Linked DNA regions of Coturnix japonica. The main gene of each other region encodes a partner of the protein of the gene in region 2 in a complex. Links are inferred from orthologs where the notes say so. Each region holds a gene or a part of one and is shown on either strand. Other genes may lie near its edges.

Region 1 (4,358 bases), about 65 Mb from region 2:
CCCTTCACTCCATAAGGAACAACAGGAACGAAACAGAAGGCTGGACATTACAAGCTATTCTAAGATCCCATAAATACACTGTTATTTAGCATACCTGGTATTTTCATTGTATTCATAAATCTGAACTTTAGCCAATATATTTGGACTGTTGTCGTCACTTCCGACAGCTATCATTGGAGAATGTGCTCTGGAGCTGGAAGTAAAAAGATACAAATTCTGTTACTAATTATTTCACAAGTAACTTCCAAAATTTAAGACACACCTGTATATAAAACAAAAAGATTGCCTAGAAAGAAATACAAAGTATCATTCATAGTTACCAGTACTACCTCAACTCTGTTCTCTTGAATGTCTACCTTATACAACAAATAAAGATAAACCATTAAGGGACACTATTTGGAATTTAGTTCAGGACAACAGATGCCCCCAGACATCGAGATTAAATTCATAGATGTGTTTGCAGTGAAGTTTGCTCTAAGGAATATGGCAGAATCCGCATCCAATGCAGTACTCGCAGTGACTGATTTAGGGGGGTTTCATTCAGATTCTGGAAAACCAGTTACAAAAGGTATACGAGCACTAGTTTTTAAATCAACTTTTAGCACAGCTTCTGAGGGTGATGTAGAGATAAAGCCTATACTCTTAACCTTTAGGACAGATGACTTATGTATTCTTCAGGGTGGGGACAACCCAACCATCACATTCCTCTGGTCTCTTTCTGACCAAGTAGGTTAAATCATGACTGAGCCCCTGAAGATACAACTAAAGGAATAATACAACCCTTAGGCTTTGTGTTAGTAAAACCTGTGGTTCCTAGCACTGCTAAGGGTGCACATCCTTGTTACCTATGGTGACAACTTCCTGAAGCAAAGACATGGGAACGCTCTCTTCATAAACACTTTTCCTTAGGAAACACTCAGCTAAGTTTTGTGGGATAAAGAAAGCACGTTGCAGTTCTTTAGCTTGTTCATCACTATTTGTAATTAAGATGTGAATAGAACCTCACAGGACAGAATGACGTTCTATAACACTTCCCTGAACTAACACTTCCATAATGAACATTTTGGATCTTCTGCTTACACAGTCATAAAGCAACACCTTCAGCTTTAACATACCTTGAAGGATTCCACGAAATGCAACTGCAGCTTAGCTTACATGAGATTTCATGCTGCAGTGACCACTGACTGAGGTTCATCACATCTGGGGCTTCATAAATCCTTACAACTCCATCTGCTGAGCAAGTCGCTAACATAAGACCCATGTGCTTGGGAGCAAACTTCACATCTGTAACAGATGTCCTACTGTCTACCAGAGTGGTCCTCTTTACCTGCAAAAGAAAGGCAGAAACCCTTGGAAGTCTCCATCTGAAATGCCTTTCCTAATTTGTTGACTTTAGTCCCGTTGCCCAGAAGCTAGTGAAAGTCTGATAATACCACTTCATAGCATCATTTACCTCTTCCATCCAGAACGAGAATAACTTTATACACCGACTTAATGGGAAAAAGAACAGAGTACAGCACTGTTGCCATTTCAAGCAAGGACAAACACACTGTGATATCAAAGTGCTGAGAGCAACAGAAGTTGTTTAGATTAAACTTCCAAACTTCAATGTTGGGAAGCTTTAGTACAAAGTAGAAAATTGCAGATAACTGAAGGTAGAATACAGTACTGGAGGAACAGTACATTTGTAAGACTGAGTATCTGCAAAAAAAAAAAAAAATAAAATCTATTATAGAAATTCCCCCTGTGAAATGCTACCCAGAAAATCCACTTCTGAGCAAAACATTTTATTCTCCAAACCTGAGCTACAGTTTCAAAGAGGAAAAAGAATGGCACAAGATGGTTTCAGATAAATGAAGAATAAAATAACCTACAACTTCAATTCCATCACGTATGGGATTCACGTCTGCAGGTTTGCAGAACACCTAAAAATACCAATATTAGTGACACTAACTGGTCTGAATGTTGCCATTTTGCTGTCTGTCCAGAAGTCCTGATAGTACTCCTTCTATTTTGGAACACTGCCACAGATGAACAAAACACACTAAAGTCAAGGACACTTTCTATTAGAGAAGAAAACCTCCTGCAATCTGTTTCAGGAATAGCATATATGTTGCAGACTCCCAGACGTCCAGCAAACGGTATTTACAACAACTTCATGTTCAGCCTTCTGTGTAATGCTGGAGTTCAGACAGTTTAAAGCTTCAGTCCAATACAATAAGCAAACAAATCAACAAGGAACAGCAAACCTGTTTTTATGGGCACATGTAAGAACTGTAATTAACACGTTAAAATCTTACCCAGTGACTTTGGCCTCGCAGTTTATCATTGGATTCTCCCACTATTTCTTCCCACACAGCTGCCGTTCTATCAAATGAGCAGGAGGCCAAGACCTGCCCAAATTCAGGATGGGCCCATGTCACGCGCCACACAGAGCCGCTGTGTGTCTGCAAGATAACACAGAATGGGACAGTACAGAGAAACACGTTACTGCAGGGGAACATGAAGGGCTTACCACACACTTTTGTGGCTGTAAAACAGAAGTAAGCAGTCTGAAGCAGTGTGACCATTCCTGTGGTGCCTAAATTCTTATACAAAGTTCAAAGCAATGGCTGAATTCGTTAATTTCTGTAAAGTTTTGCTATTATTTAACTGTTACAAGGTAATGAAGAGCACATCTAGGTACTGCTCATTATTGCTTTCAAATCCTACGCTCAAAAAAAAATAGTTGCCAACTAAGATTCTGTCTTGACAGGAGAAATGGAGTATAAAAGCTCTACAAAAAGAAAGAGAGAGATCACAGCATTACTGCGTAATGACTATTAATACAAACCTTCCAGCTTGCAGTGCAATGCCAATCCCCATTTTCACTCTTGTCCCAGACCTATTGAAAAAAAACAGAAGACAATCATATAATTTGTAGATAAGTGCACTAGATAATAACAGAAAACACAGCCACTCAGAAAAGGGAAATTACTATTGGATGTTTTCATCTGGAATAATCTTGGCACACTACACAACTACACTACACTCAACTTCCTTCCTACCGATATGAAGAACAGGCACACGCCTGCAAAATCCACCATCATGTGAAGTCTGTCATTTTTAAACAACGTACTGCTCACAAGGAGACATTATGGTAGTGTTCAATACTTCATTTTGACATTACATCCCAGTAGCAAATCACTTTGTGTTATTGCAGCCATCCCAACAAGCTCAGATGTGGTCCCCAAATGTTGACGTGGCTCCTGGCTGTCACCTCAGACAGAACAGAACAGCTCTATGGGAGAGGATCTACAGAGATTGTGGATTGTGACTGCAAGTCAAAGCAAGGCAGCAAACAAAACAAATCTAGTGGTACAAAATGGGGTAAAAGATCTTATCATTGCTTCTAATATTTCTAAATTGATCTATGAACCACAAACAGGTAACGCAACCTCCTATTCTCTGTTTATCACCCTGATGTAAGAAAAGCCACCAATCGTATCAGCCATGAAATGCTGCAACTTCTGTGCAGCTGCTGTTCTGCAGGGCCCATTTGTGGAGGGTGGGACCTACATCAAAAATAACATGGCCGTAAAACTTCTCAACAGTCTCATTAAAGACTCTGTTATAACTGGAAAGCTACACTACGTGGTTAAAGGTGTGGTTTCTAGAAGATCTACCTACATCTTGGTGTCTTACTTTTTAGGCTTCAAGTTCTACACACTCAGCCCGATCAAAGGCTGTTGGCTCACTCCTTGGGGCTGGGTTGCTTTTTCTTTTTTCCTGTTGCTGTTCACAGAATCACAGAATCACAAGGTTGGAAAGGACCTACAAGATCATCTAGTCCAACCATCCTCCCTTTACCATACCTATAGAAAAACCCCTAACCCATATCTCCTAGCTCCCTATCCAGACACCTCTTGAACACTGCCAGGGATGGCGACTCCACCACCGCCCTGGACAGGCTATTCCAGTGCCTGACCACTCTCTGAGAAAAACTGATGGTTTTGTTTGTTTCTTAACACATGATCAGAAAGAAGAAGCCTTTTGCATGCATACTGGGTTCACATAGCAGGGTTCTGGTACTGGGGTGCTGCAGGGCGGCTTGTGTGAGCACAGCCCAGTCGTACGCCACGTCAGCTCAGAGCTCCAGCTGCTCCAACAGGACCCAACGCTACCAGAGTTGAGTGATGCTGGTTGTGCACTTAGAGAACAGATTTAAGGAAGAGAAATAATGCCACAGAGCAGCAGCTGGGAAAGAGGGCTGAGAGATGTGTGAGAACAGCCCTGAATCACAGAATGACCCGGGTTGGAAGGGACCTCAAGGATCATGTAGTTCCAACCCCCCTGCCTGGCAGGGCCACCAAACATAC
Region 2 (5,885 bases):
GGCTGAAATTTCACACTAAAATATTTGCTTCTAAACAGTTCATATCTTTACCTATTAACTTTGTCAGCCACACCTCTTTTAGCTTCTCCAAGCAGCAGTGGCTACACCAGAGATGTGACATTAGCATAGCATCCCTTACAGCCTGAGTTCAGGCTTGAAGAGGGACACCTGGTAGCACTGCAATAAAGAGAAATATTGAGAGGACTGAAGTTACCATTGAGTGTCTGGGATTAAAGAGGAAGTACAATCCAAAGAAAACCAGCTTCAGTTTAATTGTTTCACAGACAACTTGCAAGGCACATATAAATCCAGATACAACATTCTATTCTTCTTGAAAGAAATAATAATAGTTATGATCAGGGACGGAAAGAAGTAATAAAATCCAGAGCATTTGAACATTCAGATTACCTTCAAATTCTGCGATATGAATGTATTTAAATGTCTAGTAGGCCCAAATGGGAGGCATTACCTTCAGAGCTTCCCTTGTACATTTTAAATTGAGAAATGAATTTACAGATGGCAAGTTCTAAATCCCTTTGGGCATAACTTTCACACAAAACAGCTTTAACCTCTTAGACAGCGTAGGCACTTTATCCCTAGTGTGCCATAGCAGCTCGCTGTATCCACTGTAGCTAGTGACCTTTCACACTCCACCTCTCAGAACTCCATTACCAGGGTAGATAACCCTACCAGACTGAAACAGGGGATAATAAGACATTGGTCAATAAATTTTACACTATCATTCATGATCAGAGAGAATGTGGATACCGTCTGATATTTGAGTTACAGTGACTCAAATGGCACAGAAGAAATAAAAAGAAACAGAAAGGCTACAAAGATGTGAGAGCTTCTGGATGAAGGGAGCCAAGAAGGATACAATTCTTTCACTTGGATGGCCACAACTGATGGTGAACATGATACAGATCTATAAAACCAAGAAAGAAGGTGACTATCATATAGTACAAGAATATAATGTATCAGAAGATGTTTTGGTTCTGCTTGATCAGTGATATTAACCAGATTTGAATGCCTTAAATTTACAGTATTTTCTTCACACGATAAGAATGACAACATTCACGGGAATACATTGCAGTTTTTTTTATCCTGTTAGGAAACACAGCTATTTGAAGTACACACTTCAAACGGTTTTTATCAAACAGCTTTTCTACTGCCCGAGGTATATTAATTCAGTGACATTCTTATTCATGCTTTATGCAACATAGAGTCTTCAAAAATAAGACTGCTGTATACCAAGCAAATGATCATTTAGCTGCTGAGTCAAATTAAATTAAATGTGTGTAAAATATAACATAAAGAGATATTATTTATGCTGTCTAAATTCTGCCCTCTGGTGTATCTACGCGATTATGCACTGTGATAAGTATGGGCCTTATTCAGCCTTTAATCAGAACACAATTAGTAAACAAAACTACTGTGAAACAGAGGGGCCATATGTATAACATAACATAAGCCTACAATGTAAGAGTATAACACACATCCCTTTGTAACAGAAAGTGAAAGCTAAAGACTAAGATAGTAAAAGACTGAGATGGTAGGTTTCATGAGAGAGATTATCTCCTGGAATAACTCTTTCCATTCCTTTGTTACTGTCTGATCCTCATAAAGTAAATACTCATTTCTTGGTCAAACTATAAAGCCTTGATTAATGTAACCCTGTCATAAACAGCTCAGACTGGAATGGGGAAAGTGACTTGGAAAATGGGAAGTTAGAGAAATCAATACTGATTCTTTTTCAGAGAAAGGAGTATTACTGTTTACATATAAATTCAAAGTCTGACAAGCCCAATCTTTGTCAGACCCCTATTTTGGTCAAAATTCTCTTACCTTGGTCTGCACTCGAAGTTACAGGTCTATGTATCGATTTCTGTGCCTATACCTTCTCCCCTTTTTCAAACTTTCATGGTGTGGCTCTAAAGTTTTGGTCTCTAGTCAGCTGTTCTGGGGAGGTACCCACCACTCCTGATGGGACCACTAAGCTCAGTGTGGTGCACCTCTCCTGTCCATGGTAGTCAGAGACCCCTGAAAGGTGATGGCTCCCAGACGAGCCCCCAGATTGTGAGAAATAACTCAAATGATATTTTTGGAGACCATTTTCACTTTCACAGCTCCAAGGGCACACTGCTGGCTCACTCCACAAGTGACCCCATTATTTTTTGGTAGGGCTCTGCTCTATCCTTACACCCCCCGTATGGTACTGATAGTGCAGGTTGCCATAATACACCTATAAGACCTGCACTGGGATCTGATGAACCTCACGATGTTCAGCTGGTCCCACTGCTCATCCTGCCCAGCTCTCTGAATGGCACCCCATCCCTCGGCTGGGTCAGCCATGAAAAGTTCTAAGTTGACAGTGAGGATGAGCGCTAGCCCTCATCCAACGACCAGCAGATGGAGCCTAGTGCCTCCCCACATTTTAGGCCGCACGCTCGGAGTGGTCGGATGGGATTTAGTGCACAAATTGCCGTTAATTTGATACTCAGAACTAACACCAGCTGCGCACACTCCTAACCCGGAACTCAGAGCGCGTTCCCGACCAGCGGAAGGAGCTTTCTGGAAGTGCGGCTGTTCTCCCTTCCCTTCCGCCCCGCAGCCGGAAGCGCGGCCCGGCTGTGGCTGTTCCCCGCGGCCGGTGGCTCCGGTTCTCTGCAGGCCCCGGCGGCTCCTCGTACCCACAGAGCGGTGAGGCGGGCCGGGCTCCGGACCGGGTGGAGGCTGGGCTGGGCTGAGGCGGGAGGAGGGGAGCGCTGAGAGCACACAGCGGGGATGAGGGGATGCCCCGAGGCAGCAACTGCTTCCCTCTGTTCTTTCCCAGTCCGGTAAATCTTTTCCTTTCCCCAGCCTTATGAAAAGCTTGTTGGAATCACAGGTTTCCTTTGTATGTAGTAATGTGTGAGGATTCTGGCCGTATGGCTCCTGCGGCTATCAGAGTACAGCGTGTTTATGTGTGCTACTAGGCCACATGCAAAGATTTAGTGTCACTGGGGCAGAAGGTGGAGCTGGGAGCTGCAGAATGAGATGAACCATGTAAAGCTTTATAGAAATCTTAAAGTAGGGTAAGACCTTGTAGGTTATAGATGAGTGCCACGAAGATGATCAGGGGGCTGGAGCACCTCCCCTGTGAGGACAGGCTGAGGGAGTTGGGCTTGTTCAGCCTAGAGAAGAGAAGGTTGCGGGGTGACCTCATTACAGCCTTTCAATACCTGAAGGGAACTTACACCCAGGAGGGGAGTAAACTCTTCGAAAGGGCTGACAATAGCAGGACTAGGGGAAATGGTTTTAAGTTAAAAGAGGGAAGATTTAGGTTGGATGTTAGGGGGAAGTTCTTCACTAGGAGAGTGGTTGGGCCCTGGAACAGGCTGCCCAGGGAGGTTGTGGATGCCCCGTCCTTGGAGGTGTTCAAGACCAGGTTGGACGGGGCCCTGTGCAACCTGATCTAGTAAAGGTGTATGTTTGGTGGCCCTGCCAGGCAGGGGGGTTGGAACTACATGATCCTTGAGGTCCCTTCCAACCCGGGTCACTCTGTGATTCTGTGATAGATGAGATGTTAAACAAGGCAGACAGGCTCTAGTATCTGTGAATTAGCGCAATTCAATTAGGCAGAGATGTTTTCTACTACCTGTTTTAGGGAGTGGCCCTTTTCTGGCAGCACACCCACGCATCATGCTGCATCACATTTGGGTTAATGCTCTCTTCCATAATAAGCAAGCAATACTGGTATGGAGGTTGTAAACATACTGCTGTTGGTTTGTAGATGGAACACACTGCTGTGTTTTTTCTGCATCAGTCAGTGTATCTGAGCAAAAACAGGGCATGTCATGTAAAAAGTGGCTTAATGTGAGAAATGCTTAAAGTTTTGGCCTTGAATGTGTGCACAATATAAACTTGGGCTAAAAACAATGTAGAACAATATTCTTGTTGTTTTTAATGATGAAAAAGAAATTTGTTTCTCTATAACATTCCTACGAATCATTTTCTCAACAGTTTTCGTATGAATGGATGTCACCAGAATCTTCTTACAAGAGTTTAAGTTGTTGATGAACTCACCCTAAAAATGAGCGGCTCCAAACCTGATATTCTTTGGGCCCCGCACCATGTCGACCGTTTTGTTGTGTGTGACTCAGAGTTGAGCCTTTATCACATTGAATCTGCTGTAAGTTCAGAACTCAAGGCAGGGTCCTTGCGTTTATCAGAAGAAACTACAGCCACGCTGTTGTCAATAAATTCAGATACACCGTATATGAAATGTGTGGCTTGGTATCCCAAGTATGATCCTGAATGTCTTCTTGCTGTTGGACAGGCCAATGGTCGGGTGGTGCTTACCAGCCTTGGTCAAGATCACAACTCAAAATATAAAGATTTGATAGGAAAAGAGTTTGTTCCCAAGCATGCACGGCAGTGCAACACCCTGGCATGGAACCCACTAGATAGTAATTGGCTTGCTGCTGGATTAGACAAACATCGGGCTGACTTTTCAGTATTGATCTGGGATATCAGTAGTAAATATGCTCCAGAGACTGCAGTTGCTACAGAGAAAGTGAGACTTTCGACAGGAGATCCGGAAGCAGGACTGGTGGTAACAAAGCCACTGTATGAATTAGGGCAGAACGATGCTTGTCTCTCCCTTTGTTGGCTTCCACGGGATCAGAAGCTTCTTTTAGCTGGAATGCATCGCAATCTGGCTATCTTTGATCTGAGGAATACGAGCCAAAAAATATTTGTAAATACTAAGGCTGTCCAAGGAGTGACTGTTGATCCATACTTCCATGATCGTGTAGCTTCCTTCTATGAAGGCCAAGTTGCCATATGGGATTTAAGAAAGTTTGAGAAGCCTGTTTTGACCTTGACAGAGCAACCAAAACCATTAACAAAAGTCGCGTGGTGTCCAACAAGAACTGGGCTGTTAGCTACTTTAACAAGGGACAGTAATATCATTAGGCTGTATGACATGCAGCATACTCCCACGCCTATTGGAGATGAAACTGAGCCTACAATAATTGAAAGGAGCGTCCAGCCGTGTGAAAACTACATTGCCTCATTTGCCTGGCATCCCACAAGTCAAAATCGAATGGTGGTTGTGACTCCCAATAGAACTATGTCCGACTTCACGGTTTTCGAGAGAATTTCACTTGCATGGAGTCCAGTGACATCCTTAATGTGGGCTTGTGGACGCCATTTATATGAGTGTACAGAAGAAGGAAAGGCCAGCTCCTTGGAAAAGGATATAGCCACCAAAATGCGGCTCCGAGCTTTATCAAGGTATGGTCTTGATACTGAACAAGTTTGGAGAAATCACCTCCTAGCTGGAAATGAAGATCCTCAGCTGAAATCACTTTGGTACACCCTGCACTATATCCTTTATTTTACCGTGGTTTATATTTTAAAGAAGTAATGCACCCTTTACGTGTAAACCAGTTGTGTGAAATGCCTCAAGGTCTAAATGCAGTGTAATGTGCTGTAAAAGGCCTGCGTTAACAGAATGTGAGTTTTAACTTTAAAGAAGTGTTTTTTCAAATTCTTTGGAAAGAAAATAAGCTTCCTATACGTGTTAATACTTATGAAGCAGTATACTGAAGATATGGATCAAAAACTTACAGGAAACAAGGGTCCCCTAGTTTATGCTGGCATTAAGTCAATTGTGAAGTCATCTTTGGGTAAGAATGTTGCAACTTTGATAAGTTATATTACAATATATTTACAAAATGAAGCACTCGTGTTTGTCTTTAAAAATTGTTGAAGGAGGCTGTAGAAATACATAAAGTCTCTCAGTCTGTGTTTTAATGTATGTTGTAAGTACAGAAATGAAAGTGAACAGTTTATATTACAGTAACTTCCTGATTTTTTTGTTTTCTTTGAAGCTCATCAGA
Region 3 (5,605 bases), on a different chromosome or scaffold from region 2:
TCCCCCCCGCGCCTGCACGGTGCCAAGGCCATCAGCGAGGCCGAGCCCCCCACCCGCAAGGCACTGGAGCCCGTGCCCTCCATCATCGTCCCATCTGGGCCTGCCCCGGTGCCCAAGGCCCGTAAGAGCAAGGAGAAAAACCGTGAGAAGGCCTCAGTCAGTCCCACCAGCAGCCCTGGGGCTGAGGGCAATGGGGCGCCCGGTGCTGCCCGTGAGCTGCTGCACCCCCAGAGCTCCCCCCACCACCAGTCCAAGGAGAGCTTGTGCTCGCGGGAGAGCGAGGACACGTACTTGTAGGGCCGGCGCGGCCCCACGGCCGGGCTCAGCTGGGCTGTGTTCGGACCCGGGCTCCAGGACGCTGCTCCCTCTGCGGCCGAGGGCAGGAGGGGGGACCCCAGGGTGGGAGGGGACCCTCGTGGCGCCTGGCAACGGGGGCTCGGGGCTGGAGGGAGCAGGACGTGGCTGATGTGGGCTCGTGTGGCACCGTGGGGGCGCCGGCTGGGTGCCCAATTAGGGTCCCGTGGGGTGACCAGTGGGAGCTCAACCCAGCGCGGTGACATGGCGGTGCATCCAGCCGTGCTGTCCCCAGCCCTGCAGGGTGCTGGCACCTCAGTGGTTGGAGCCCTGGCACAGGGTGGCTGAGCCACCTGAGCTCCTCCGCCGCCCCTCAGGGGCCAGGCACGAGCCCCCCCCTCCTCATCCCATCACCCCACGTCCCCTGCAACCCTCCCCCCATCCCCTGCCCACCCCATGCTGTTGGGGCAAACCCAGACCCAGCTCCCCATTGTTTGGGGCTGGGGGTACGTGAGGAGTTGGGAGCAGCCTCTGCTCCCCACCCCCCCCTCTTTATCTAGTGAGGATGTATCAAGCTGTAGCCCAATATGTAGTATGAATTTACCTATTCACTGAGCCTATTTATTATTCCTCCATGGCAGTAACTCTTGCAGGCCGGGGGCCGAGGTTGGGAACTGCAGGCGGGACGCACCGGAGGCAGCAGGATTGGATGGCAGACCCCGTGCCCTGCAGGGCCGAGGTGAGCCGGGGCTGGGGGTGCTGCCTGCTGCGGGGTCCCCTCTCTTCCCCCCTACCCTGCGTCGTGGGCAGGGGGAGGCTTTGTAAAATACAGCGGGGCAACGTGGTTTTGTACAAAGGGGAAATAAAGCAGGATTGTGTAAAGGCGCAGCGTGTGCGGCTCCGTGGGTTCAACGTCTCTTTGGGTGCCGTGGCGGGGGACAGGGGTGCTCCATCCCCTCCATCCCCTCCATGCTGTTGCTCACACTTGCTGTGTGCACGCAGTGTGGTTTGGGGCCTCCCTTCCCTGCCTGGTGGTGGCTGCGGGGTCAGAGGTGGCATCACTCAGTGGCAGCATCCCTATAACTGCGGGGGAACTTCTCTCGTGCATCCCACCTGATGATGTGCGACCGTCCTTTATCCCACCCCGGTGTCCTGCAGCGTCCTGTAAAGGGGTTCATTGGGGACACAGCAGGGAGGTGACCGCCTCGCTGCCCCTCCCAGCCCCGGGGCCCAACGCTGTTTGAAGCGCAGATGAGAGACGCCGAGCTGTGCTGACGCACCTGGAGGTCACCTCCAGCCCCGGGGCAGCTCGGCCGGCTGCCCATCTCGCAGCAGAACCGGGAGCAGCTCCGCTCCCCCCCCCCGCAGCCTCCGTTCTCTGCTTTCCACGTACAAAATGGTGCTCCCTGCAGGCAGGAATGGTGCAAGAACTTCCATCCCCCCTTCCCCAAATCCCTCTGCCCACGAAGCGGCTGCGGGGCAGAACCCTGGTTCCCGCACACCTCCCCTCCCGTGAACTCAGCGGATCCCGACCCCCCCCCCTACCCCGACTTGGATGGATACGGGCCGAGAGCGCCCCAACGCGTTACGGGACGGGGCGGGGCGGGCGGGTGCCCCTCCCGCAGCCCGGGGCGGTGCCGGGACGGGGCGGTCCGGTCCCGTTGGGCCCTTATAGCCCCACGGAGCCCCGTCCCGTCGCGGCGCGGCCGCCATGGACCTGCACATCCTGGAGCACCGCGTGCGGGTGCTGTCCCTGGCGCGCCGCGGGCTGTGGCTCTACACCCACCCGCTGCTCAAACTGCTCTTCCTGCCGCAGCGCTGCAGGTACCGATCCCCTTCCTCACCCCCCCCTCCCTCCTCCTCCTCCTCCTCTCGGTCCCACCGCACCGCGTTGTGTCCCGGCAGGTGTAAGTTCTTCAGCCTGACCGAGACCCCCGAGGATTACACCATCATGCTGGACGAGGAGGGCTTCAAAGGTACCGACACTGCGGCCATGAGTTGTGGCCGGCCTCAGCCCGGCGATGCTCGGAGCTGTGCGGTCAGCGGCCGGCAGGGAACTGCCCTGCTCAGGTTCTCCCTGTTTGGCAGCTCCGGTGCTGCCTAAAGCCACGGGGACGCGGCTGAGCCTCCGCAATGGGACGGGGCGGGGAGTGGGAGTGCTGCCCTTCCCCGCATCCCGCTGCCGGGCCGTGCTGAGGGTCTTTGAGTCCCTGTCCCTGGAAGGTGGCACCGGGTGACATCGCTGTGTAGTGACGCTCTGTGTGCAGCCCTGCTGTGGAGTCTGACCCCACGGGCTGTGCTGGGGGTCAATCCTGACCCCATCCTCTGCTCCAGACCCCCCCCCCCCGGCCGGGCTGTATCTCCTGCTCACGCCCTGAGGACCAAAGGTCAGTGGCTCGGCCGCAATGCGACGCTCCCACCCGGCTGCAGCCCAGCTCCCCACCGCTGCCCGGAGGAACCGGGGCCGATCCCCACGCATTGTTTTATTCGGGACCTTTTGGACATAATGCTCCTCGATCCCGAGGGGCGGGCGGGAAGCGGCAAACAATGGCTGTGAGGCGCTGCACGGCGCCGGGCTGGGGGGCTGCCAGCACCCCCAGGCACCCCATGGGGCCGCGCTGCACCCCCGGGTTACAATTCACGGCTCTGGGGCCGGGTGAGGCTCTGGGGCCCGCTGCTCCCCAAGGCACGGGGACATCTGGGGGCACCCATATGATCGCAGCCCCCCTTGCAGCCCACGGGTGTTGAAAAGCCATTAAGTGGGGACGCGGCACCGCGGTCCCCGTCCCCGGGAAGGCTTCCTGTGCAGGAACAAGCAGCTGCCAGCACCCTGCGCTTGGGACCTTCACATCTGGCCTCGCTCCTCCCTCATCGCTGCAGTGAGCGGGGTGGTCTCAGCCTGTTACTGAATGGCTGCTGCTGAGCAGCGGGCAGTGAGGTCTGGGGGTGCCCACCCGGAGATATTGGGTGCCGAAGGAACAACGTGGCCCCGATCCGTTCCTTCCTGGGGAGCGGGCGTGGGGCAGGAAGGAACCGGCCGGCACACTCATTCCCTGCCAACAACAGCAGCTTTTTGGGAGGCAGCCCTGGTCTACTGCCAGCATGGGCTCAGCCTCAGGGATTACGGCTTGTCAGAGCCGGGCACGGTGTGAGGACATCCCACATCCCCTCCGGTGTGACACGGGAGGCAGAGGATGGGGTGGGAGATGTGCACAGCCCCGGGGTCTCAGTGTGCTGCACCCACTCGTGGCCAGCCCTGCAGGTGCAGGACGAGAGGCACATCCCAGATTGGAAGGTTTGCTCCCAGTATCAGCGCTCCCAGCCCTGTGTGTGGGGCTGCCCCTTGCTGCATGGGGACAGCACTGACTCATGTCCCTGTATGCTGGCATTCAGCATCCTGCAGTGCCATCAGAGCAGGGATGTACGCAGCGTTACACCCTGTGGTGCACGATGTCTTTGCTGCCTGCAGGCAGAGGGCAGCCACCCTCAGCATCCCCTCCTGCATCCCTTAGATCAAGCCATTGCCCCCTCCAGCACCCATAATAGACTGGGACCCACTGTCCCCTCTCAGCGGGGTCCCATTGGGGTTGGGGACACAGCACAGCCCCGTGTCATACCTCAGTTTTCCCTGTCCCACACAGAGCTGCCGCCCTCCGAGTTCATGCAGGTGGCAGACTCCACCTGGTTGGTGCTCAGCGTTGTCTCCAATGGCTGCGCTCCCTCTGGCTGCCAGGCCACCGGTGTCACCAAGATCGCCCGCTCCGTCATCGCGCCGCTGGCCGAGCACCACGTCTCGGTGCTGATGCTCTCCACCTACCAGACCGACTTCATCCTGGTGAGCTCAGTGGGGATGGTGCCATGGGGCTGAGTGGGAGATGGTGGGGACCCCATTGATCTTTGGGGACAGCCACGGTGATGCCGCGCCGCTGCCAGGTGCGGGAGCGGGACCTGCCTGTGGTCATTCATACCTTGGCCGGGGAGTTCGACATCTACAAGGAGGAGAACGGTGAATCCATCCCAGTCCCCTGTGATGATGCCAGCAATGGGTTCCTCAAGCCCAAGTCGGGTGAGCGTCACTTGATGTCCCCAAGGCCACCCCGTCCCCAGTGCCCAAGGGACGCTCCGTTGCAGACACCCCCCGTGCTTTGGGGACCCCTGCCTTTTTGGCACCCCAGGGGACGCCGCTGGCCCGGTGGCCACGTGGTGGCACTGCGGTGCTGTCCCCAAAGGCCCCGGTGACAATCGCTGCCTCTGCCCCGCAGCCCCCAGCCCCACGCTGCACCCCGTGCAGAGCCCCCAGAACCGCTTCTGCATCCTGACGGTGGCACCCGACACGCTGCCTGCCATCGCCACCATGCTCATCGATGTGCTCTTCTACTCCCACAGGTGAGTGACGGGGCTGGGGACATCGGTGTCACCCCTTTGGGTCTCACTCATTCATCCCCTTTTTGACCTCGGGGTGCACTTTGCTGACTTTTGGTCACCCTCGGTTGCTGCCGGTCCTGCTGCCACCTCTGTGGACAGGAGCCCTGGTGTCACCATATGGGGGGGACAAGCCATGCATTGCAGCCATGCAAAACAAAAGAGAAAAGGGTTTTTTATTGCAAATGGGGTGGGCACCCCCCCTGCAAACTCAGCTGCCCGAGTTTCCCAACCCTGTTCCCATCCTGAGGCACCCCTGGCTGACACCAGTGGCACCTTTGGAGCCGTCCCAATGACACCCTCCTCCTGATTTGGGGTCCCTGTGCCATCCTCTACCCGCAGCCCCCCCAAGGAACCCAGTGCTGCTGACCTCGACTCCATCACCTTCTTCTCCTTCTCTCTCATCGAGGGCTACATCTCCATCGTGATGGATGCAGAGACCCAGAAGCGGTAGGGCTGCCATCCGCGGGTGCCCCCACCCAGCACTGGGGGTCTGCCATGCTCAGTTTCCCCCTTTGTAGGTTCCCCAGTGACCTGCTGCTCACCAGCTCCAGTGGGGAGCTCTGGCGGATGGTGAGGATCGGTGGGCAGCCCTTGGGCTTCGGTGAGTGCCACCACCACCACCATGGGTCTGCAGGGGGGTGCAGGGATTAGGGGACCCCTCCTCCACCACCACCATGTGTCACTGTGTTGGTGACGCTGCGCTCTCATTGCCTCCCCAGATGAGTGTGGCATCGTGGCGCAGATCGCTGAGCCGCTGGCTGCTGTGGATATCTCAGCCTATTATATCAGCACCTTCAACTTTGACCACGCGCTGGTGAGCCTGGCACGCTGCCCCACCACGTCCCCCCGTGTCCCCCAAGTGGGGCTGACAGACCCCTGTCCCCAC

Evidence for each region.
Region 1: the proteins of MIOS (region 2) and SEH1L are in contact, whole or in part, in a cryo-EM structure (PDB 7UHY), measured with the Homo sapiens proteins. The link is inferred for Coturnix japonica from reciprocal best matches to the Homo sapiens genes MIOS and SEH1L. Residues at the interface, in NP_001357005.1 of Homo sapiens: Arg279, Arg316, Ser317, Phe353, Glu354, Arg355, Ile356, Ser357, Leu358, Ala359, Trp360, Pro362, Leu366, Met367, Trp368, Ala369, Cys370, Gly371, Arg372, Leu374, Tyr375, Glu376, Cys377, Thr378, Glu379, Glu380, Glu387, Asp389, Ile390, Ala391; in NP_112493.2 of Homo sapiens: Met1, Phe2, Val3, Ala4, Arg5, Ser6, Ile7, Ala9, His11, Lys12, Asp13, Leu14, Ile15, His16, Asp17, Val18, Phe20, Phe22, His23, Gly24, Arg25, Met27, Trp47, Ser173, Ser174, Ser175, Asn230, Leu231, Gly232, Arg233.
Region 3: the proteins of MIOS (region 2) and CASTOR1 are in contact, whole or in part, in a cryo-EM structure (PDB 9LVK), measured with the Homo sapiens proteins. The link is inferred for Coturnix japonica from reciprocal best matches to the Homo sapiens genes MIOS and CASTOR1. Residues at the interface, in NP_001357005.1 of Homo sapiens: Ala83, Asn84, Val109, Pro110, Lys111, His112, Ala113, Arg114, Asp134, Lys135, His136, Arg137, Asn184; in NP_001032755.1 of Homo sapiens: Val94, Ser116, Thr117, Tyr118, Gln119, Thr120, Asp121, Thr188, Tyr236, Leu255, Thr256, Ser257, Ser258, Ala295, Tyr296.

What each region holds. Positions count from the first base shown.
Region 1 is NC_029517.1:87,392,860-87,397,217, forward strand, and holds part of SEH1L (nucleoporin SEH1), read right to left. Parts: intron 2,885-4,358; coding exon 2,834-2,884; intron 2,448-2,833; coding exon 2,301-2,447; intron 1,328-2,300; coding exon 1,116-1,327; intron 194-1,115; coding exon 95-193; intron 1-94. UniProt on the Homo sapiens protein: Component of the Nup107-160 subcomplex of the nuclear pore complex (NPC). The Nup107-160 subcomplex is required for the assembly of a functional NPC.
Region 2 is NC_029517.1:22,614,507-22,620,391, forward strand, and holds the start of MIOS (GATOR complex protein MIOS), read left to right. Parts: upstream 1-2,449; 5' UTR 2,450-2,700; intron 2,701-2,754; exon of another isoform or gene 2,755-2,837; intron 2,838-4,002; 5' UTR 4,003-4,072; coding exon 4,073-5,369; intron 5,370-5,573; coding exon 5,574-5,672; intron 5,673-5,885. UniProt on the Homo sapiens protein: As a component of the GATOR2 complex, functions as an activator of the amino acid-sensing branch of the mTORC1 signaling pathway. The GATOR2 complex indirectly activates mTORC1 through the inhibition of the GATOR1 subcomplex.
Region 3 is NC_029530.1:9,678,428-9,684,032, forward strand, and holds the start of CASTOR1 (cytosolic arginine sensor for mTORC1 subunit 1), read left to right. Parts: upstream 1-1,924; 5' UTR 1,925-2,005; coding exon 2,006-2,118; intron 2,119-2,199; coding exon 2,200-2,270; intron 2,271-3,935; coding exon 3,936-4,129; intron 4,130-4,227; coding exon 4,228-4,360; intron 4,361-4,556; coding exon 4,557-4,680; intron 4,681-5,058; coding exon 5,059-5,166; intron 5,167-5,237; coding exon 5,238-5,320; intron 5,321-5,438; coding exon 5,439-5,533; intron 5,534-5,605. Other genes in the region: TBC1D10A (TBC1 domain family member 10A), read left to right, coding at 1-297. UniProt on the Homo sapiens protein: Functions as an intracellular arginine sensor within the amino acid-sensing branch of the TORC1 signaling pathway. As a homodimer or a heterodimer with CASTOR2, binds and inhibits the GATOR subcomplex GATOR2 and thereby mTORC1.